3 linked regions of the Oreochromis niloticus genome follow. The protein of the gene in region 1 binds, or shares a complex with, the protein of each later gene. Links are inferred from orthologs where the notes say so. Each region holds a gene or a part of one and is shown in the gene's direction. Other genes may lie near its edges.

Region 1 (7,985 bases):
AACTTTAATCCAGCTGCGTTATTAAAAGACTCCCGGAACGTACAAGTGTTATGAAGCAGAAATGATCCACAGAGACCGAACAGTTTGTGTATCAGGCTGGAAACAGGTTCTCTTCGCTGTAACGTCTGTGAGGTGGACTCACTGCTGCCTCTGCTGGACGTCAGAGGAACCGCAGGTTTGGGTTTAAAATCCAGAGCTTTGTCAGTCCATTATAGTCGGTGTCAGCTGACTTGCTCTTTGACTCCTTGTTACATCCACCAGAGGAACTTCACAATCTCAGGTTAGGCGAAGCATGAAAGAGCCTACTAACAGGAAGCTGGATCAAAACATCAGCTTATTTGTCCCACAGATGATGCTTATCGATGAAGAATCACACATTTGCATTCCCAGTATCAGACTGAGAACTCAGGGTTCCTCAGTGTCAGGACTTTGCTGGGACTTTGACCAAATTAAATATTTTGGAGACTAGAGACAATTTGACCAGCTGGTGTTCCGATCCATAATCCTCCACCAGTGTGCTGAAAGCCTGTGGCGATGGAGGACTCATACGAGGGTAAAGGCTCAAAAACTAGGCTCTCACTGACGAGCCCCTTTCCTAGATGGGGCAATGAGACTGGGTCCCACCAATGACACCATAACACGGGGAAGTCGTCCCCAACGAGGCAGCTCATGCATACTAATGGTGTAGCTTCATGGAAGGACCACCATGTGGATGTGTGCTTGTCAAGACATTTTCCGTGTCTGCGAATCTGCTAGTGATGTAAATTTCTTCATGAGATGGTGAGCTGATGATTGGTGTGGATGTCTTCACGCCTGCCTGACCAATCTGCAGAGACCAACTATGCGTACGCCCCTGGTGACGCACTTCAGAGAACTATAACAGGAATGACTACTGAGTCATCGTCTCTCCAACGCTTACAAGAGACAAACAATGACAAAGTGTGCGGCTTAAAATATGTCAGGACATTCTTCAGGTGTGCGATCAGGTCGAGATGCAGCAATATGTGCGTCAGACCCAGAGACGCAGAGACGTCCAAGAAAAGGGTGAAAAAACATCCCTGGAGTTTTCAGTTTGGTAATATTTTGATCAGTCGACTCAAACCTGTGATGAGTCCCACACATATGAAGCCTAAACAACTAAATTCTCCCCCAAAATATCTTAAAACTGACTTTTGTGGCACAACAACAGTAGCATTCTGAAAGTTTACTCCAGGTTCCAGCTTTGCTGCTGTTGCCACTGCTGCTTGCTGTTTTGTGTGAAATGCATTCTGGGATACTTGGCTTTCCCAAATCACCACCCTTGATGCCCTGAGGCTGTTTCACAAGTACGAGCACCAATGCAGACAGTGACGTGTGTGAAGGCTCCTCGTGGCGGTACACGGTGAGGACCGGTCAGAGGCTTTAGTGTTGCACTCAGGACACACGTGTTTCTTATTTTGTTCCTGTGTAGGGTTTATACACAGTTCTCCAAACGTACTTGGACGGTTGATGAAGGAGCACTTTGATCAGCAAGCGAGGCCTGTTCCCTCGTTATTCCACGAGAATTTAAGCAGGTTAAGTGTTGAACTTGTTTGCTCTTAAATACTAAAGCTGAAGGCAGAGACCCACAAACAGCAAGCAGCTGAATGAGGAAGTGTGGCATGTGGCAGTGTCCTGCTGTTGACTGCAAAACACTTTCACCCAATGAAAATATCATAAAAGTTGGAAACTTTGTTAGTCTGTGCGCCTGAAAATGGGGCTGTGTTTAAAATCCACCGTGGTGCACAGACTGGCTCCTGTACCCATTTGGACTGAATTTAAATGTGAAGCATGGTGCTTCACGCTTGCAGGAACCAACTGAACCTCCCTGAGTTTCCACAGACCAGTGCAAACGTTCAGCGGCTTCAGTTCTTGTTGCAGAAAGCAGATGAGTCTTGATTTGTGGTTAAATAGTGAAAAAATGACCTCCTGCATCTTCTCTAATCACATTTCCTTGACCTCAGTGGAAGGGAAGTAAAGATGTGAAGGACTGTTTACGAGGACTTGAAGAGGAGGACTGCGGCACTCTGAGAATCAGCTGTGGCTTGCAGGCTCTGCTGCGGTGAAACTACAAAGTCCTGCGGATGGACTACAAAAAGCTCCTCTCAGATACCTGCTGTGCTCTCATTGGTTGCTGTGTACAGACGGTGTGCACACAGTAACACGATGAGAGCTCACCTGTGGTCGCTCAAAGATGGCCGTCATCGGGTGGAAAACTCAGCAGTAAGTCACATGATGGCCTGTTTGTTTTCCTTTAAGGTCTGATGGGTCGTTGCTGTGAATTGTGGGATGCCATCATCTCCTTTCCTTTCATAAAGGAAACTCTGATGCATCCTTTACTAAAGGAGGTAATAAAGGAAGCTTCAGCTGCTTCCAAGCTGCTCACAGTCTGAGGTTAAAGCTGCGGCGACCCTCGTAGCATAGACAGCAGCAGAAAGTCGGCCCAAAGCCTCCGTTTCCTGCTTTATGTGAGCAGCAGGAAGAAATCTTCCAGCTGAGTGCGCTCCACCCCGCAGACCTCAGCAGTGTCGCAGAAACACTTCACCAGATGAAATAGACGAACCGAGCACGCTGCAGGTGCAGTGATTTCCCCCACTGCTCCACACTGCTTCTGCAAAACTGGTGCTAATGTAGCACAGACTCCTCATTCTGCCCCCTACTGGCAGGTGAATTAAACACATATACACAAGCACAGCGCCGGGAAAATACCCTGCACGCGTGCCACATTCCTCGCAGCAAAGCTGTCCAGTTAAAGTTGAGTGCTGGCTATAAAACCCATCAGGATGAAATATAACCGCGTGTGATGAAAACGTTAATCATTTAATGGCGATGACGAGCAGACGCACCTGAAAGTGGCGTGCAGGTTTATCACTGCTGCATGTCACGATCACGGTGTGACATAACCACAGTGAAGCTTTCACACAGGCTTTCATAACAGACTGAAAACAACCCGTTACCCTATCCACTCTAAAATATTAGCTCATAGCCAGAATGTCTTCAGAACTTCAAACCAGGTGAGTAGTACTGTAATACACCTGAGCCTGTTAGCTACCGTGATGCTGTTGAAACCAGGCAAGTACCAACAGCAGGTTTCTCCTCAGACCGAGGGTGGAGGTCGGGAGTCCTGGATGAGGTTCTTTAGCTCATCTTACAGCTGGTGGGGTATGACATCATCATTCAGGTTCTGATGTTGGTTCTGGTACTTTTTGCCCCCTTCATGATCGATGCCAGCGTCCCACAGGGATGGAGTCCTGGTCTTTTATCCATCAGCTGTGTAAGCGCCGCATGATTGCCTCGGGTCTCCTTGTGGACTTGCTGGCTAAGCTTAGCTTTGGGGTGTTTTTGGAACTGTTAGGGTCTTGTGACGTGATGACACATTTCTTTAGCTGGTCTGAGACGGCAGCACTCTTTCGTCTTATGTGTCTTATTTGTCTTTTTTCATGGATGTGGACAGTGTGCATCCTGTAACTCATCAGTGCTACTCACCCTGCAGGTGTGTCCTCAGTGACAGAGCTGCCATGATGCACTGGCAGCACCACCTCTTTAATCTACAGCACTGTGCAAAGGTTTTAGGGAGGTGAAGAAAAATGCTGTAAACAAAATAAAAGTTTTCATTTATCATTTATTCTCATCCATCAACAAAATGCAGTGAATAAACAAAAGAGAAATCAGTATTTGGTGTGAGCACCCTTTGCCTTCTTCTAGGTCCACTTGCACACAGTTTTTGAAGGAACTCGGCTGGTAGGTTGTTCCAAACGTCTCAGAGAACTAAGCAAAGATCTTCTGTGGATGTCAGCTTCCTCACATCCTTCTGTCTCTTCTTGTAATCCCAGACACACTCCATGATGTTGAGATCAGGGCTCTGTGGGAGCCGTACCATCACTTCCAGTACTTGTTGTTCTTCTTCATGCTGAAGATAGTTCTTAATGACTTTGGCTTTGTGTTTGGGGTCGTTGACCCCAAAGGCAGAATACATCTGGGGCCAATAAACAATCATTTATATTTCTGAAACCATTCTTTGTTTACAGCATTTTTTCACACCTGCCTAAAACCTTTGCACTGTACTGTATTTCAGGCCAAACTGAGCACGCTCAGATGCAACAGGGACTTTTTGGCTTATTGATGAGGAGCGGCTTTGGTTCCTGCACATCTTTAGTCAGTTGCTGGTATAACATAGCTGCGTGGTTTTTTGCATATATCTCTTAATATTTGTCTGAGAGAGTCTGGGCTGAGATCAGGTGTCTTCTTCAAACAGCTGCTTGCGTATATCTGCCTGCACTTCAGAGCAGTCCTCCTCTAAACCACCTTAAAGATCTGCTTAGACTTCTGCACCCGCCATCAGAGCCCGGATTGGCTGAGACGTTAAAGGGTCACCGTCCTGTGACATGAAGTCCTTTCTGAGTACGGAGGACGTAGCGACACAGCGGCTGCTGATGGACGCTCAGCCTCTGCCTCTCTGACTGTTGGTCATCTGACACAGGCGCGCACACGCACACACACACACACACACACACGTCCTTTTCTCTCAGTTTGTGACTCGCAGTAAAACGAAGCTCTAATAAAGGAGACGTGCAGAAACGTGTTGCCGTGTTCATTCTGATGGTGAATGTGGCGGCGGAGCGTTTCTGCGCTGCGGTTGCCGTCGTCTTGTGTCTGAGTGGGTTTCTGTGTTTTCGGGCTCAATGATCTGAATGAGTCGCGTCGGGAGAATATTAACGAGCTCTGCTGATCAGTCAGACATACAGAGCAGCTCTGGAGACTCTCTGAGGAGTTTTTCACAGGAAGCAGCGTCAGTCCCAGAATCTGTTTGAGTGTTTGTGTGGAGCATAAGTGGACAGGACTGAGCCACGTCACGCTCTCAGGTTTGTTTGTGACTCGTTTAATATTCACATACGACCGCTGTACACATCAGGAGGGAGGAAATGAAAAGGTGCTGTTCCACGCAGAGCTCTGCTGTACCTGCTCTGACACGTTCTGTTCGGGGATTTTGGTCCACATGATTATGACATCAATGTGACATCAGCACACAGCTGCTGCAGATTTTCCGTCTGCATCCGTGATGAGAATCTCCCGTCCCTGCTCTGAGTGCATCGAACGGATCGTTCAGGAAGCCTGTGTGAGGAGATCTGAGCGCTGAGACGGTCACACCTGCAGCAGCTGAACGCAGATGCAAATCGACGCTCATCAGACCAGGACGTGTTTTTCCACCTTCTGTGGTCCAGCTTTGTGAGTCTGTGTGAACGTTAGCCTGAGTTTCCTGTGCTGAGCTGAGCAGCAGCGGTGTGGTCTTCTGCTGCTGCTGCTGTGGCCTCAGAGATGCTCTTCTGCATCCTGTGGTTGTTTGAGTGACCACTGCGTTCCTTCAGCTTGACTCTTACCGGATATTTCCTCTTTTACTTTTGGTTGGTGTATTTTCGTGGTATTAGTACTTTAACTGCAGTGAGGACCGGCTTTAAAAAACAAACAACGGGCTGGATTTCAGCATCGTCTTTATTTTATATCTGCTCATTTAGTTTTATATAAAGCATTTAGATTTCGCTCAATGTTAGAAGGTGCTGTAGCAATAAAGCTGTCAGCAGTAAGTGTGATCAGCAGCTCATTGATTAATGCTGCAGTCAGGCTATGCCAGGCCCTAAAAGTAATTACGGGGATTTTAAAGTCAAAGCTAAAGTTGGCAGGAGGACCTGAGGAGTCAGCTGATTCACGGAGCCTCCAGGAGCTTTTCCCAGTTTTTAACACATGGAACAAACAATAAATCACCTGAGAAAGTAACGGGACTCTGAGAGCTGCAGGTTCCAGCCTGCTTTTCACAGAGTTTCATGTTTAATAGAAAATGTAATAAAGGGTTTCTGTTTGAACTGGCTGCTCGTGTAAACGCTGCTCCTCCGTGGTGTCTGTGGGAAAGCTCCAGATGGTCTGGGTTGATTTTGACTAAATGAGACCAAAGCAGCTTTAAAATGTTACCGCACTGCTGGTTCCTCTTCGGTTCTTGGTGAAACGTCTTCGGTGACTGATTTCCACAATCGTTCAGGTGTGTGAGTCAGGACACTGAAAATGTCTCTTTATTTCCCCACAGTGGGTTAAATTTTCACACTGTGCTCACAACTGTTTGAAGCTCCAGATGTTTGTAATGGCTGCCAGATGTTTCTGTTGGATTCCCGTGTTTCCGGTGCCATGAGGTAAGCACTGATAAACGCGGGACGTCCCTCCCCTCTGCAGCCCAGAGACATCTGTGATCTCCGGATATAATCTGAAACCGGCTCAGGCTCAGAGGAGGCGACGGACTTTCTGGATCTTGTTCCTGTGCGTGGCCGAGGCTGATCTTCACGTGTTCATGCTGGTGGTTTTCATTCATGTTCCTGAGCCCAGCAGAACCAGGTCCGACTTTAATCCTGAGCCGGTCGAGGGCCAGAACGAAGGTGCAGCTCGGTGGTCACACTCCAGTTAGAGAAACCCGGCGGTCGTACATCTGAGGAGGCGAGAAATGCCGGTTTGAGTCTTTGCTGCAGTTTGGGTATCGAGGGAGTCTTCAATCATCGGCCGTCTGCTGCTGCAGAGCTGACACAACAATCAGGCATCGATCGGGCAGTTAGCGTTCCCCCTGTGTCAGAGCGGCCGATCGATCAGCGGCGCTGCTGCTTCACCTGCACAAACCTCGAGCGAACCAAGAAGTGTGAGAAAATCTCAAAGGTACCAAACTTATTCCTGATACAGAAAAATAGCAAATGAATCTGTGAAAGTTCTTCCAACAGACGGTTGCATTGAAGGATCCATGTTTTTTATTGTGACAGAAATGTCTCTGTACGCGTCAATATTCATCAATATTCAGGATTATTGATTAAAAACAAACATCAGTTTGAGTGATAACAACAATAAAACCAACAACAAGGAGCAATGATGATGCATCAGAGCGTTTGGGGTGTGCAGTCACGCACATCACTCTCTTACACAGGAAGTGTGTTTATTCAGGTGTGAACGAGCCTCAGAGGGACTGGCGTCACTTTGGGTGAACCTGAGCAGTGGCGTGAAAACAGGAAAGAGCAGGAAGACGTCAGAACCCACATCAGGTGTTTTGCCACACGTGACGTCTTTGATTTCAGCTTGTTGTTCGGTTCAGTGGTGGTTCTAAACAGATGTACCTGTCCAGGTGCTTCACTGTGTGGCAGCAGCTTTGGACCCTGAGAGCGAAAAGAGGAAAAATGTAATAATATTTGCTCTGACTTCTCGGTTGTCTCTGAGCTGTCTTGGCGTCTTTGATGTGATAAAGTCGTTACTCGTGTTCAGATGAAATGTGAGCCCCTCTCGTGCTGTAACCCTGCACTGATTCACGTCTGTGCGATGAAGCTCTAACCGCATCCTCGGCTCTGAAGATTCAGCTCTGCTCTCTTTCAATGAATCTTTAATCGTGTTTACACTCTCTCAGACGCTCACTTCCTGTTACCGAAGCTTTCAGCATCTTTTCTCTCATTTCACACAAACACCAGCATTTATATGTCCAGTGTTTAGCACAGCGGCTTGTGAGGATGTCGTGTTTTGTCCCTGCGGCCGTCTGAAGCCGACACGTTCGCTCAGCTGTGATTAAAAATCAAGAAGAGATCAAGTTTAAGCAACCTAGGTTGATAAACGTCTCTGCTGTCGCCGTCACGGAGCCGGTGTTTTACCTCCAGCCGCTCAGCCTGATTTGTGATTTCAGATGGCAGAGCTGCTCCGTGTTAAAGTTTAATTGGCCTAATTGCAGAGAGTGTGGTGAGCAGGTGATCGTGCAGTGGGCAGCTCCCAGGAGTCCCTCCGGTTTCCGGCTAAAAACGGCGTCCCGATGCTGCTGATTGATGAAGAGCCACTCAGGAGGAAGCTGAAAGCTAATGGAGCCACAGCAGCTAATTTATGACAACATTAACGTGGGGGGAGGAGAGGGGGGTCATGCTGTCGGGCAGCATTAGACAGAGATGCAGAGAGGAAGCTGCTGA
Region 2 (7,644 bases), on another chromosome or scaffold:
TTAATTACCACAATCTTTTCTAATGTTTTGTAATGGTTAACCACCAAAATTTATGTGAGCTATTTAATCGAAATAATATTTTGAAAATAGTAAAGCACACTATTATTGTTGTTATTATTATTATTATTATTATTATTATGAATGAAATGAAAACACGAATTCCAGTCTAATAAAAAGGAATTTGATTTTTAGTTTTAAACAGCTGTTTGACAGATTTCTAAAATATTTGTTTTCTTGTTTTTATGACAAGTAATAAACTTTTTAAGTATTGTACCCAACATTTAATAGAGATATATAGTACTTATACAGGGAGTGCAGAATTATTAGGCAAATGAGTATTTTGTCCACATCATCCTCTTCATGCATGTTGTCTTACTCCAAGCTGTATAGGCTCGAAAGCCTACTACCAATTAAGCATATTAGGTGATGTGCATCTCTGTAATGAGAAGGGGTGTGGTCTAATGACATCAACACCCTATATCAGGTGTGCATAATTATTAGGCAACTTCCTTTCCTTTGGCAAAATGGGTCAAAAGAAGGACTTGACAGGCTCAGAAAAGTCCAAAATAGTGAGATATCTTGCAGAGGGATGCAGCAGTCTTAAAATTGCAAAGCTTCTGAAGCGTGATCATCGAACAATCAAGCGTTTCATTCAAAATAGTCAACAGGGTCGCAAGAAGCGTGTGGAAAAACCAAGGCGCAAAATAACTGCCCATGAACTGAGAAAAGTCAAGCGTGCAGCTGCCAAGATGCCACTTGCCACCAGTTTGGCCATATTTCAGAGCTGCAACATCACTGGAGTGCCCAAAAGCACAAGGTGTGCAATACTCAGAGACATGGCCAAGGTAAGAAAGGCTGAAAGACGACCACCACTGAACAAGACACACAAGCTGAAACGTCAAGACTGGGCCAAGAAATATCTCAAGACTGATTTTTCTAAGGTTTTATGGACTGATGAAATGAGAGTGAGTCTTGATGGGCCAGATGGATGGGCCCGTGGCTGGATTGGTAAAGGGCAGAGAGCTCCAGTCCGACTCAGACGCCAGCAAGGTGGAGGTGGAGTACTGGTTTGGGCTGGTATCATCAAAGATGAGCTTGTGGGGCCTTTTCGGGTTGAGGATGGAGTCAGGCTCAACTCCCAGTCCTACTGCCAGTTTCTGGAAGACACCTTCTTCAAGCAGTGGTACAGGAAGAAGTCTGCATCCTTCAAGAAAAACATGATTTTCATGCAGGACAATGCTCCATCACACGCGTCCAAGTACTCCACAGCGTGGCTGGCAAGAAAGGGTATAAAAGAAGAAAAACTAATGACATGGCCTCCTTGTTCACCTGATCTGAACCCCATTGAGAACCTGTGGTCCATCATCAAATGTGAGATTTACAAGGAGGGAAAACAGTACACCTCTCTGAACAGTGTCTGGGAGGCTGTGGTTGCTGCTGCACGCAATGTTGATGGTGAACAGATCAAAACACTGACAGAATCCATGGATGGCAGGCTTTTGAGTGTCCTTGCAAAGAAAGGTGGCTATATTGGTCGCTGATTTGTTTTTGTTTTGTTTTTGAATGTCAGAAATGTATATTTGTGAATGTGGAGATGTTATATTGGTTTCACTGGTAAAAATAAATAATTGAAATGGGTATATATTTGTTTTTTGTTAAGTTGCCTAATAATTCTGCACAGTAATAGTCACCTGCACACACAGATATCCCCCTAAAATAGCTAAAACTAACAACAAACTAAAAACTACTTCCAAAAACATTCAGCTTTGATATTAATGAGTTTTTTGGGTTCATTGAGAACATGGTTGTTGTTCAATAATAAAATTATTCCTCAAAAATACAACTTGCCTAATAATTCTGCACTCCCTGTATGGTTGGTAAGCTCTACATTATCTGCATTGTTATAGATTAATCACATTTCTTTGGTGGCTAGACTTTATTTGTTTCAACACAGCAGCAAATCTACAACTTCACAACTGTCTCCTATTTCACAGTCCCACAATACACTGTAATTTTATTTCTATGTTAATGCAGGTGTTGCAAATATAATATAATATAATGGTAAATGGCCTGTATTTATACAGCGCTTTTCTAGTCCCTAAGGACCCCAAAGCGCTTTACATATCCAGTCATCCACCCATTCACACACACATTCACACACTGGTGATGGCAAGCTACGTTGTAGCCACAGCCACCCTGGGGCGCACTGACAGAGGCGAGGCTGCCGGACACTGGCGCCACCAGGCCCTCTGACCACCACCAGTAGGCAATGGGTGAAGTGTCTTGCCCAAGGACACAACGACCGAGACTGTCCGAGCCGGGGCTCGAACCGGTAACCTTCCGATTACAAGGCGAACTCCCAACTCTTGAGCCACGATCGCCCCAAACCTCGGTTTGTTTGCATTCAGATGATAATCAGTGATAACAGGAAATGTTTTAATTTCATGTGCAGGGCCTTTGTTGATACTGCCATGCTGAAGAAGAGGAGGCAGAGAGTTTTTGACCAGCTGGGAGGATTTAGTCAGCAAGGAGCTGTTTGCACCATCCTGGGTAAGAAGTCTGGATTTTCAGGACCCACTGAGCTTAGGCTATGGATAAGTTTGAAAGCTAAACCCTGTGGGAAATCGACTCACTGAGATACAAGTTTCTTTCAGCACTTCAGTCTGACATATGTGAGATATGGATCGATTGGTTATAGCTTGGTTTGTTTTCTGAGCTAAAAAATGTGGACTAACATTAGCGTATTATTTCATACCAGTAATATGTAAAATCAAGAAAACAGTTAACCTTTTTTTTCCTTTGTTATTTCTGTGTGTATTTGTTATAAATTGCTATGTAAGCCTTCTCTGTATGTGTGTAGTATTCGACTGGTACTTTCTTCCTTTTGCAGAGGCCTTTCAGAGGGCCAGGAAAAAGATGCAAGAAGCCCGAAAAAGTCTTCCACAAGACCTGATCAGCAGCGCATCCCAGCTACAAATCGAATCCTCTGCTTAAGTCTGAAAAATGGAGTGAGGCTGTTACTGTTTTTTTTGAAGTTTAGATTATAGATTATCACTGGCTGTGATATAAGTGAATTTTTCTCACAAAGAGGAAAATCATGTCTCAATGTTTTAATTGTTGTATTTATGGCTAACATAGTGGATGGTGTACTAATGAAGTTACAATATGAGTGAAGCTGGTAATTAATAGATAGCAGAGCCATTATACCTGCTATGTATGGTTGTACCTGGCAATGCATTTTTTTTTATAGTCACGGTTTATATTTGATTTCAATAAACGGTCCGATTGTTGGCGTTAACTGAGGCTTTTAAAACCTTGTGAATATAAAGTAATGTTTTGAAAGTTTGGTTTTATATTTTCTATTGGTTACTTCAAATATCAATGTAGTTGTCATATTTGTTGTAATATAAACATTTTATATCAACTATTACAATTATCTTTAAATACTTAAAAAAATCTAAATCTTTTTTCTTCATGCACTATATTTTATATTTGGTATATGATATTTAGGGGCATTCATACAGTAGTTTAAAGCTGTTCACACAGTCTAGATTGTATGTAAAAGTATTTTTTTAAATCTTTTTTTGGGGGGGCGCTTGTCTTTTCAGATTGAGAAAATATTGTTTTTGTGTGGGTTTTCTTCTGTAGTTTGAGGGCTAAAAATGCTGGGGGGGGGGGGTTACAAAGTTTCCATGCTCTATGAATCACTTTGGTCCTTTCCACTGAAGCACAGGTTTTGCTTAGTGCAGTTCAGCATCTTAATAGATGACTTACATTCAATAGGATAGCGGCCCTCCAAGTCTGGAGTTCGACACATGTGCTTGAGATAGTTGAATTGTAAAATCGTTTTGGAGCCAGAATTGAACCAGTGACCCAAGAATTTCTGTCCTCCGCTCTACCAACTGAGCTATCGAAGGGATCATATACACCGCGTCTGATTTGTTGGACCATCGGATACATGGTACCTAACAGAGTCTGTGTTTTGCAAGAATTCCATGTTTCAAGGACTTGAACATAACAAAAATGTACCCGTCTGATTCAACATGTTCCTTCATGCCTGAGGCACTGAACATATTTCACATCAACATGAGTATCCTTCCTTTTTCCAACTCTTGGGCTGCGTTCAGACCCAGGGGAGTACTTTGCAGCCCCTGACTTGAAACTGCTTTGAAAAAGGCAGGACTGTACAGTGAAGGTGAAACGCTGATATTATGGAATTCTTTTCCTGGCTGTGAGGACACGGCGAGGTCCCTACCAAGAATTCCCTCCAGTGTTGCATTCATGATAATAGGAAACCGTGGCGTCATATGGAGTCATTTATTATGTAATGTAATTTTCCCCTTTAAATACAAAAGTTTGCACTGATTTATATTTGCTTGTGAATCCAATTACAAAGAAAATATAAACCCTGCAGACCGATTTGTCCACATGACCTCGAAACCGTGTGATGTCATTGCCGGTTGTGGTTTCCTGGATCTGCATATACATTTTATATAATACATCATTTATATTCGCAGATCTTAACTATACAAACATCTACTAACAGCCGTTATAAAATCAACGAAATGTGTTCGCTGCAACAACGCATCCTGGTATTCTTTACCTCAGAAGGGAAGTTGTCCAGTTTCCGATGAGTGTGAATGCACCATCGTTATCCTGGTTCTCCATCTTCCTCCAAACAGACGAAGGAGCAGCCTGCGTCTGACACCCAGTGGAATATTTTTCTCTTCTCACGTATACTCAGCAAGGTATGGGCGATATTATACAGTACAGGACCTTCTTTTAACCTTGCTGTCATTGTGTTGTGATTTTGTATCGACTGTATTTTTGCAGGGCTGCTCATCGTTTAGCTACCGTAAAGGCAGCTCCTGGAAACTGGGCCGCTGCTCACGTTTCTATTTTGACTCCAGATTTAACATAACGCAATCTTGTCATATCGGACTGTAAACCCAGGTTGATGTTAGAAGTTGTCTGTGTTTGGAGTTTGTTGTTAATATTTGTGGTATCGCAGTAGGGAGCGGATGTATTTAGCATCTAGCTAACGCTAGCTAAGTGGAAGTGCTGTGCCTCCCGGTTAATTAAAGCTAACCTGATGTTTGTTGAGAGGTCAAACGTCGTCACACCCAGAAACACAGAGCAGTTAATGTCACAGTTAGATTAGAGTAGGTTCTTCTTCACCATACAGATGAAGAAAATGGCTAATGCCGGCTAAAGTAAAGGTTTAATTCTTTAACATGTAACCCTAAGTACGTTTTCTTCAATGTAATAGCATGTTTTAGCTAGGGCTGTACAGATACACAAATGTGTGGTCACAGGTTTACATACAGTCATTATGGACATCGATATCATATGTTTGTGCTTTTAATGATTGCTCTGAACTTTGAATTCTTTTCCAGGTTTGCATGATTGCAGAGCTTACATCATTAATAACTGCAAAAATTTGAAATTATGTTGGATTTTCTCTCATCCACACAGATTCAAATATATACATAAACCCCCATTAATATTTGGTTAAGTGTCCCTTAGTAAGTTGCATCTTCCCCAGATGCTTTTGGTAGCGATCAACAAGCTTCAGCCATAATTCTTGCTGATCATTTGACCGCTCTTCTCGTCAGAATTGGTAAATATATCTACCGCCACCGTGCTTGACAGCTGGCACTCTGTTCTTAGATTTGAAAGGCGTACCATTATTCCTCCAAACATATCTCTTGTCACTGTGGTCAAATAGCTCAATCTTTGTCTCATCTGACCATAAAACCTTTCTCCAGAAGGCATTTTGCTTGACTATATTTCAAATTGCAGTTGAGCTTGAAGCAAGGGAGTAGGTGAAAGAGAGCCTGGAGAGGCAGAGATATGCTCTAGTGGAACTGACAAAAAGATGGAAGGCCAAGCTGGAGCTGTCACAGCACAATATGCTCGGACCACACTGGTCAGGTTTAGAAATAAGTACAGAGGGACAGCACAGGTTGAGTAGTTTGGAGACAAGGTTACAGAGGCAAGGCTTAGGTGGTTTGGACATGTGCAGAGGAGGGATAGTGGATATACCAGACAAAGAATGTTGAATATGGAACTACCAGACAGGAGGAAAAGAGGAAGACTGCAAAGAAAATACAAAAAATAAAATCCATGCATTTAGCGAAGGAGGGCTGGTGTGACAGAGGAGGATGCTAGGGATGGGATGGCAGATGATCCTTTGTGGTGACCCCTAAAGGAATCATCTGAAAGAAGAAGAAAGGGGAATGAATAATAACAAAAACAAATTAAACATAATAAAATTGCATTTGGTGCTTCCCTAGTGTGGTGCATTATGATAAAATTAAGTTGCCTATTTCAGAGTTTACTAGAACTTCATATACTCTGTAAAACAGTAGGGAGTGTATAATTCAGACATAAATGGTTCTCCTAACCTCTGCCAAACCCAGGATCCTCCATTACAATGCCTGAAAATAAAGCCTAATTAATGAATCCAGACTATAAGATTACAGTGCTCTGTAGTCCACTGGTTGTGTTTAACACCACTCCAGCTAATATTTGGCATTTTGCTTGGGGCTCTTAGGCTTTCATTTCCACATCACCATGCAAACCAGTGTCATGAAGCCACTTTACTGCTGTATGGATTTTGCTCAGTTATTTATTGAAAGGGGTGTTCTCCATACTTGTAGTGTAACCTTGTGTATTTGTAAAGCAGTTATTCATACATTCATTTAGAAACTAAACACATCAGGTTGGTCTGTCATAGAAGAAACCTGTAAAATTTTTAGATTTATTACTGACTGTTACAGTGTACTATGTTGGAGGCAAACCTGATGACTGAATCTCATTGAACTACTTTGTGGCTTGTCACCACATCACTTAGTCATATGGCAGATCAGGGAAGAAGAGGTACTACAGACTGTTATTGTATATTAAAGCCTCACTGAATGATTATGTAATATTTTTTAAATGTATTTATCTATTTATTTTTTACAGAACTAAAGGACAACAGTCATGACGGACTCGAAATATTTCACAACAAACAAAAAAGGTGAGTATGGAAGAGAAATTGTTTTTTGTTCATGTGGGCATGTTAGAGATTGGAAATTTATGGCAGTGTATATATAAACAGCACTGCTTTCAACTCTTCATCTGATTCATCTTTCAGGGGAGATCTTTGAACTGAAGGCAGAGCTGAACAATGAGAAGAAGGAGAAGAGGAAAGAGGCAGTGAAGAAGGTCATTGCTGCCATGACTGTTGGCAAAGATGTCAGGTATACTACAAAATAGAGCAGGGCGATATGACCAAAAATATTTATCACGATATACATTTGAAAATTTGCGATAACGATATAACTGACGATATAATTGACACTAGACAAAATACTTTACAACTCCACAACTTTATTAGTGCAAAAAGAAACCCATCAATGTATTTTCACTTAAACAAGCAGCTGTTTTTTATGTGCATTAAAGTTACATAAAAATGTAACACTGCAAATTCCTTGCGGACAGTTTAACCAAAAGCCATTTCCAGTAGAAATTGGCCGACATATCCTCAGCATAACCATGTATAATATCCACAAAACTTAAAAAGAGGTTATACACACACAATACGGTAATATTATGTTGAAGCACAGTACGTATCACTCCGCGAGGCTCCTGCCTGCG
Region 3 (7,949 bases), on another chromosome or scaffold:
TTGAGCCATGTCACACTGTTCTGCAATCTAAATATTTTGGTCAACACTAAGAGCTCATGACCAGAGGTGAGGTTTTTGACTTCCAGCTGAGCTCCCACTTCATCACAAGAGTCCTTTTGTTGCCTGGAGTGAACAATACACCCTGCTCCAGCAGGAAACCACTGCCTCAGACTTGGAGGTGCTAACTCTCATGAAACTCAACTTCAAACAGTCCCAAATGGGAAGTGAAGCCTGTGATCTAACAAAACTAAAAGAAGCATATCAACTGCAAAAAGCAGAGGCTGGACTGGACACACTTATCATCCCAACTTTGCCTTGAAATTCTGTTCATAAATCTATGCGTATATGAAATATGAATGAAAATAGGATCTCAACAAGGGGTCCTCATACTCCATTATAGTGTTGAACCCAGTGTACAATTACTTAGGGGACATGGCCATAAGCCAACTCAAATCCATAAAACCGTTTAGATTGGAAATGATTCATATTGCCCCTCCAAGTGACAGCCTCCTTTTCAGCACCCTGGAATAAAGTTTTTTGGGGGAGGCTGAACAGTACGATACTCTGTTAGTAAACCCTCAGTCCACTAACCGTTTCTACACAGATACCATCCCCAGCCTCCATGTGACACTGAAAAGGTGTGGCAGTATGTAGGGATGTAGTGATTCCAATCCCATTATCAATATCACTTATCAGTTCTCTTATCTATCCTCATTGGGTTCTCTTTGGTTCTGCTTTGAGAGTCACCACCATCGCTAAACAACATATCAAAGACATTACATTTGTGCAAATTAACTGCATGCTGTGTGGTCAATTGTTTGTGCACGTTGTGTGCACAAATATACTTTTCTTAAAAGTACTGCAGTATGTTACTCCCCTTAGAAAGAAATTTGTTACACTACTCTTCACAGTACTTCCACATGAAATGCTCATAGTTACCATTTCTCAATATAAACCTATTGGCTATAGTCCCACAGACCAACACAAATCCCTATCCTAATGAGGACACTCTTAGTATTTATGTATGAACACCAGAAACAGCAAGTATGGAAACCAACACAGAAACTTCAGAGCGATTCTACATTATAAACATGAACAGGTGGAAACAGAGGCTGCAACCTGACTGCTCATCACTGCTTTTGTTACCTGTTGAAGTTCAGGATCTGCCTGCAGGGCTGGGTTCTGCATTCATTCAGCTTCAACATCACTCTGGGTCCTTCGCTGGCTTAGCATTAGCATGCAATCTGTGCAAGTGCTTGCAATGAGCGAAAGTTGATAATGCAGTTGTTTCTGTCCTGGATACAGTTTCTACTTCACTATCACACTCTTGTCTTTTTGTGCAGTAAAAATAAAAAATAAAATCCACACTGTAGACTGCGCCACTAATTTCCTCCCCTGCACACAAACTGAAATCGGCTGATTGTAGCGCAAGTTCAGCTGATAAGTGGAAGTGATAGGCAAGCAGACTAAAAATTACAAGCGATTGAACTAACAAGAACCAGTTCTCTGGAAAAAAGCTAGTTCTTGGTTCCATCCCCAATTATATCGATCACCATGGATGCCAGGATGGGCTCTGGGGTAGCTTGAACTGTAAAGCTAACAACCAGCAAACAGGGGGACCTTGGTATTTTAATAGCATTAGAAAGCAATAAACCATAAAACACAATGAGAAAAACAGTGGGAAAAAGAAACACAGACTAGAATTCTTGTTTTTGCTCTTCACTCTTTTTTCTCTATTTGAAATTTACATATTTGCATAGCAGCAAATAATGTTTAGATGTAAAACTTGGCAGACTGAGGCTGTGCCAGGTGAGTCACTGTTCAGTGACAAAGTATTCAGTACAAAGTTTTTTTTGCGTTTATGTGTGTATGGAGGGGGGGTGACTGATGAGCAGACGAACATGAGACAGGTCAGTGCACGTCCTGTGAAGTGTTTTTGGCCCACAGTCTGTTGGCCATGCCTCTGTAACCAGGATAATTAGAGCCCAACCCCCTGTTAGGAGCCATAAACAGCCAAAAACAACATTAACCATTTGATACACAATCCCAAACTCACACATTATTATCTATTCATCTAAAACAAATTTAGGGCAAATTTGATATGCATCTTAATTTCCAAATATGAACATTGTTTTCGAATGCCAGCTACACACTGGCAGACTTGTGTGGAGTAGCGACTGTGACAGCATCTAGTCTGAACAGACCATTCCAGTGTTTTGAGCCTTAGCAAGAGAAGACAATGTTATCAAGGAAGTATTCAAACCAAACAAAAAAACCTGGGTTACAGGGTTTTGGTTGTTTTTTGTAATGCATGTTTACAAAAAATGTGAACTACAGTCATGTGTAAAAGAATGTCTACATTTTTAGGGTTTTATATATGAGAACTTAGCAGGTTCTAAAATTGCAACATCAGGTACAGACCACCTCAGATGAACAAAATCATGTAATTATTTATTAAAAAAATTTAAGCCAAAATGTGTAAGTGTGTAATGTGTGAAAAACTAAGTTGCATATCTATCTGGGAACTGTTATGAGGCAATCGCCAAAGAAATTGAACTCCATCATTCTACAGTAACAGAGATTATTTACTTTTTCTTATTATTATATTGTTCATTTATTATTATTCACAATAATCCATGTTTTTCAAGCAGAAAACATTTTAGACAGCTGCCAATCTTCCCGGGAGTGGACATCGCAGCATGTTAAATGATACAGTCAGTACTTGTACAGTTAGCCTTGTTTGAAGCCTCTTCTCTCTACAAAGAACATGGCAACATGCTTAAGTTTGCAGCAACACATCTGAATAAACAGACACACTTAACAACACTAACCATAAGACTCAATTTAAAAAATATACTTTTTTAATGTCAGACAGAAATTTCCCTAATAGCCTCGAGCTTTAAGTTTTTAGGAGTTCTTTTGTCCACTTGGCAACATCACAAGTGACCACACTGACCAAAGCAAATGTACGCTTGTGTTTATAACTAGCCCGGTTGTCTGACCAACACTGGGCACACTTCTAAGCACACTCGCTCCTCTGTGTGAAGCTCCATCCATCACGAGGCCAAGACAGGACAGAAGACCATGGGAAATGAAGCATGGTTAATTCTGTTAGCGCATGGACACAAACAATCTGTGGGGAATCAAAGAAGAAGGAAACATAATCCCAGCGGAACCATTTCCTGCTGCATGAGCTGGAGCAATTCACCATGATAAGGCAAAACGTTAAATTCCTCTACAAATACACATGACAGTATGAGGTAGTTTCATACAGTGACGTTCAGGATGTCCACATTTGCCATCTATCTCATTCATTTCTCTCTCTCTCTCTCTCTCTGTTGCTCTCTTCCTCTCTCGATTTCTTTCTTTCTTTCTTTTTTCTTTCTTTCTTTCTTTCTTTTTGACTCTGCTGTCTGTGGGGAAAGGCCTGCCACAAAGCTCTCAAGCTGAGTGACCCTTATGGGACAAAGCTGGCTTTCTAGGCTTTTTGCATATATGCATGCCATCCAGACAATGAGGCCTTTATTAGAGTAGCCAGCATCTCCGAGCTGGAACGGCAGGGATGAGGAATGGAAGTCCGAGAAAGCTGTGACTGACACTGGGCACAAGTGAGAGTGTGTGCATTTCCCACCTCTTTCCCATGCATGTGTGTTTCACAGAGGTGTGAAGTGGATGCTCTTACCCTTTCTTCTTCAGTTAACTAAGAAATCTTTTCTCATCCAAAGCTGAATCTCAGAGTTTTCTGATGCCAGGTAACATCATGCATTGCATGTATGGAAAAATGTCCAAGCTAGTTAGAAACTTCCCTGTCATAAATCTCCATATAAAACAGGCAAAACAACATGCTGTGGCCTTTAGCTGCAATCACAAACAGCTCTGAGCAAGCCCTCAGACAGGCTATCTCTATGCACTTGACTAACTTTACAATACAAAAATCAAGCCTTAGTCGAATGAGTGCCTGTGTTCGAGTGTGTGTGTGTGTGTGCATTGTACTACGTATTTCTGTGTGTATTGGTGTTGAGTAGAGAAAGAGGACGCTGTGTGACTCAATCATGCGTGAAGAGTATTTTCTGTTCAATAGGGGCTGCACACTTGCATACTTGCATTCTAATGACTCCATATGCATAATCGTACTAGTACAGATACTCAGATGCGTACGTGTGTACACATAAACACACACCTATACCGACGCACACACTACTGAATGCCACCTTCTGTTGTTCTCCTGATGGGAAATACACAGGTAAGAGAGACTGACACCTAACTTGTGAAAAATATCATGCATCCTGTTAGTGTGACGCATGATGTAAACTTCTAGTCACATCTCCAGGGTTGGATGCCCTTCTCTTCTAATATGCCTGAGCTATCTGAAGCATGGGCTGCATGTTTAGTGCTGTTCTTCATGCTGACAAAATTGACTGTAATAATGTGTTTTAAACATTAATAGAGTCTGCATAAAATTTAAAAAAGGGGTAAGGATTTTTATCTATACACCACTGCTTATGTGTTTTGAGCCGGGCTACAAGGACAGATGAATGCGAACAAATTCTGTGTCACTCTGCACCTTTACACACATAAAACATCTATTTTGGAGCAGCACACACACACACACACCTCTCTTCTCACTCTCTCACTCTCTGTCTTCACTCACTGAAGCTGGAGTTGTTGTTCTGAGTGGTAAACATGTGCTAAAGGGGGGGGTGAGTGGCTAAGTTTTCTTTTTATCCAATAAAAATGTCTCCTTGCCAGATCGATTGTTGTTGCTAGGAGACTGAAGCATCCTTTGGCAAGGGGCTTCAGCTCTGCTCGTCTGTTGTTTCACTCTCTCTCCCTCTCTCTCTCCCTCTCTCACTTACTCTCTCTTCTCTCGTGCACGCGCGCTCACGGGCACACACACACACACACACACACACACACAGCCACGGAGCTGGCGCGCAGAGCAGTGGCGCCCATCCTCTCTCTCAGTGCGACTCCTCCGAGGGATCAGGAGTAGACTAAGTCAAACTTCCAGCAGCTTGAGATTTGTGCGCAACCTTTCAAGGATCGAAGCCGTCAAGGTAGGTCAAATCTCACACATTCCTGACTGGTAGGCAGTGGTTGTCAGAGTGCAGTGAAAGAATTGACAGTCCGGGAGCGTTCAAGCGCGCGTCAGCCAATCCTACTGTAGGGAGCAATTTGCTTTGAACTTTGCGCAGGATTTAAAAAGCCAGTTGTACTGCATAAACGTGCTTGTTGTTTCCTTTCAGTCACGTTCAGTAATTGTGGGTTGTGTCAGCGGGGGAAAAATGGTTGCTAATCTCTGCAGCAGATGCACGATAAAGATACAGAAGGTGAAACAAAGACTATCTGCAGTTGCGTATTTCACTCCGCGCGGAGAAGTTATTTGGGTTCAGACAAACCGCACTGAGGCATGTCCCTCGGCTTTAGGCTTCCCAGGGAAGGATGGGCGGGTAGTCTTTGAAAAGAGGCATACAGGTGGATCCGATATCTGGATCTGGTTATTGTTTATCAGTGTTACTTTCCGTTTGCATCTAAGGATCCACTTCACACCTTGCGCTAGAGGAAAGGCAAGTGGACCTGCACTAAAGGTAGAACCAACAAAATGGGAATGTCCACATTAGTTGCTGTCTATGAGCTATACTGGCTTTAACTAGCAATCTTATATTTCTCACTAACAAGCAGAGGGGTAAAACAACTTAGTGGATAACTGGATAAACATATTGATTCATATAGCCAAACCCACATGTTATTACTGGCCATTTCTTTTTAATCTTCTGCACTCTACTAGAAAAACAACTGCAAATTACAGTTTTATAAACAGTGAAAAATCATGGCCCGTGTCCGAATTCATGTAGAGCAGGTGCGTTTTTATAAGCCCCAAGAGAGAGGTTGTAATTAGCTTTAATATATTAGGGGTCTATAATGTGCTGTCTTTTAAAAATAAACATAAAAACAAAAATACTGCATTTTAGGTGTGTGTATTTTTCGTGTTTAATTCTTACTGGTGTACCCATTCAGGTGCATTTTGGACACACTTCAGAAAAGATATCATTCCTGCCCCACACCACCCATGCTGAAGCATGCATCAATGTGTTGATTAGTCAGTGAAAGACTTTTGGTTACTCTTAATCAATTTTAACCAAAATTGTCATATTTTACTAAAATGATATGCAGCAGATAAGGATAAAATAATGTTTATGTTATAATGGAGTTACAGTATTGAAGTGGGAACTACTAGATGATATAGAATTTTACCAAACCATGATCAAATGTCTATTTGTGATAATCGTATACTGTGTTTTTTAACTGTATTAGAATTGCAATATCCAAATGATAAGGTTACTAAATAAAGAGCAATGAGAATTTTTAAATTAACTTTGTTGCTCAGTTAGATACGAGTGTATTTCCTCCACGTGAACATGTTATCATTGCTTGTGTAAAATGACAGCTACATGCTTTTTCAGAATAATATATATGAATATAAAATATTCATGTTTCTATGATTATGGATTTTTATGTATATTGTAAAAATGTAATATTTGATTAACTAGGCTGAGATGTCCTTATTGATATAAAGCAACATCTCTGAGTGTAAATTCTTTGTGAAACTTGTTGCATAACTAAGTTTAATTTCACAATTGTACAGAGAGTTCGCACATCAATAACTCTCTCAGCATGTGCGTGCGAGGATGACAACTATAGGTGGGGATGTAGTGACATGTTAAGACTTTAACTTATGTTTACATGCTTATGTGTAAATGTATTTATGTGCGTTCTTCTGTGTCAGGAGATGTTAATCTGTGGGTAAGGCAGCTGAAAATTTCTCCTGCTGAATGGATGTATTTTGTTATCAAATGTGCTTACAAGCTTCTGATTGTGATTTTGATTTGTTTGTATGTACTATATATGTAGAAATGGTCATGTATATTCCACACACTACACCTAACTGAACTGGATGTACTACAGAACCTCATCATTAGCTGCTGTAGAGCAGTGCACAGTGTGTGTATGTGCATGCTTGTGTTGTAACATAGATTCTGACTTTAGAAGAAATGCTGACCACTACATATTATGGGATGATGTTTTCTGTGATGCGATGACAAGTTGACTTTATTAGTTTATATATTTTTCTTATAAATCAGACGTATTAGCCAAAGTCCTTTTTCTATAGCCATAAATGAGAGATTATGATGAGAATTTATGTTGTAGTCAGTTCTTTGAGCTTTTATAGGACATTTAAAAAGTTTTATTATTCATGGGGCACAGTGGCAGTTAATAGCAGTTAAGTCCAAAAGCAACTTGTGTAGAAGAAATATAACAAAGTACCCATAGAAATTTTTAGAACGCCACCTATATCATGACCTCTTTTCTGCAGCTATAGCCATACGTGCTGTGAGGAGCTCTAACATCCTGAAATGCACCTGCTCAACAGCTTGACAGGATTGTGCGTGACAGCTGAGACGGAGGTGTGTTTAATCATAAGTTGGTGACTATATGTTACCAATGGCAGGATGTACATTAACTGCTGAGAAAAAAAGGAGAGAGGAAAAGGGGAATTTTGCTGCAAGAGTGTTTTTTAAGACATTATATATTTTTGTTATATTCAATTAAAAGTCACCCACTGCTAACAAGGAACAAACTTTTTTTTTTTTTTTACAGAAACCTCTAATAGGAGGTGATTTCAGGACATTTGAATTATTTTGGATGAAGTATTTGTATTTCATCTGACGAGAATATACTGGAACCATAACACAGGCATCAGGAAAGCTTGAATTTGGGATGTTGGTATTTTACTAAATCTTATCAAGGCATACAGTACATATTGAACAGAACATCTGTTAAGCGGTGGCTTTGGGACTGTGGGATTTTAGAAAGCAATATGGATATTCCATGTAGTGTTATTTATTTCTTTATTTATCTGTGTGACTAATGTCCTAGCCAATTAAAAG

The links.
Region 2: the proteins of arrb1 (region 1) and ap2b1 are in contact, whole or in part, in a crystal structure (PDB 2IV8), measured with the Homo sapiens proteins. The link is inferred for Oreochromis niloticus from reciprocal best matches to the Homo sapiens genes ARRB1 and AP2B1. Residues at the interface, in NP_004032.2 of Homo sapiens: Asp384, Asp385, Val387, Phe388, Glu389, Phe391, Ala392, Arg393, Arg395, Leu396; in NP_001273.1 of Homo sapiens: Arg834, Gln835, Phe837, Leu838, Trp841, Lys842, Asn846, Glu849, Ile876, Ala877, Arg879, Val881, Glu882, Gln884, Tyr888, Glu902, Arg904.
Region 3: the proteins of arrb1 (region 1) and grm3 are in contact, whole or in part, in a cryo-EM structure (PDB 9II2), measured with the Homo sapiens proteins. The link is inferred for Oreochromis niloticus from reciprocal best matches to the Homo sapiens genes ARRB1 and GRM3. Residues at the interface, in NP_004032.2 of Homo sapiens: Gly5, Thr6, Arg7, Val8, Phe9, Lys10, Lys11, Ala12, Ser13, Pro14, Tyr21, Arg25, Arg65, Glu66, Asp67, Leu71, Gly72, Leu73, Thr74, Phe75, Arg76, Lys77, Arg103, Leu104, Lys107, Pro133, Arg236, Phe244, Asn245, Thr246; in NP_000831.2 of Homo sapiens: Pro605, Lys608, Ala609, Ile669, Phe670, Asp671, Gly672, Val673, Lys674, Asn675, Ala677, Gln678, Arg679, Lys681, Phe682, Ser684, Cys761, Pro762, Glu763, Phe765, Val834, Val835, Thr836, His837, Gln855, Ser856, Ser857, Ala858, Ser859, Thr860.

What each region holds. Positions count from the first base shown.
Region 1 is NC_031979.2:38,769,065-38,777,049, forward strand, and holds the start of arrb1 (beta-arrestin-1), read left to right. Parts: upstream 1-4,925; 5' UTR 4,926-5,185; coding exon 5,186-5,244; intron 5,245-7,985. UniProt on the Homo sapiens protein: Functions in regulating agonist-mediated G-protein coupled receptor (GPCR) signaling by mediating both receptor desensitization and resensitization processes.
Region 2 is NC_031975.2:24,344,334-24,351,977, forward strand, and holds the start of ap2b1 (AP-2 complex subunit beta), read left to right. Parts: upstream 1-4,593; 5' UTR 4,594-4,748; intron 4,749-6,969; 5' UTR 6,970-6,987; coding exon 6,988-7,024; intron 7,025-7,141; coding exon 7,142-7,247; intron 7,248-7,644. Other genes in the region: tectonic-like complex member MKS1, read left to right, coding at 2,453-2,550, 2,891-2,994. UniProt on the Homo sapiens protein: Component of the adaptor protein complex 2 (AP-2). Adaptor protein complexes function in protein transport via transport vesicles in different membrane traffic pathways.
Region 3 is NC_031972.2:54,846,786-54,854,734, reverse strand, and holds the start of grm3 (metabotropic glutamate receptor 3), read left to right. Parts: upstream 1-4,898; 5' UTR 4,899-5,057; intron 5,058-5,394; exon of another isoform or gene 5,395-5,588; intron 5,589-7,375; 5' UTR 7,376-7,466; intron 7,467-7,949. UniProt on the Homo sapiens protein: G-protein coupled receptor for glutamate. Ligand binding causes a conformation change that triggers signaling via guanine nucleotide-binding proteins (G proteins) and modulates the activity of down-stream effectors.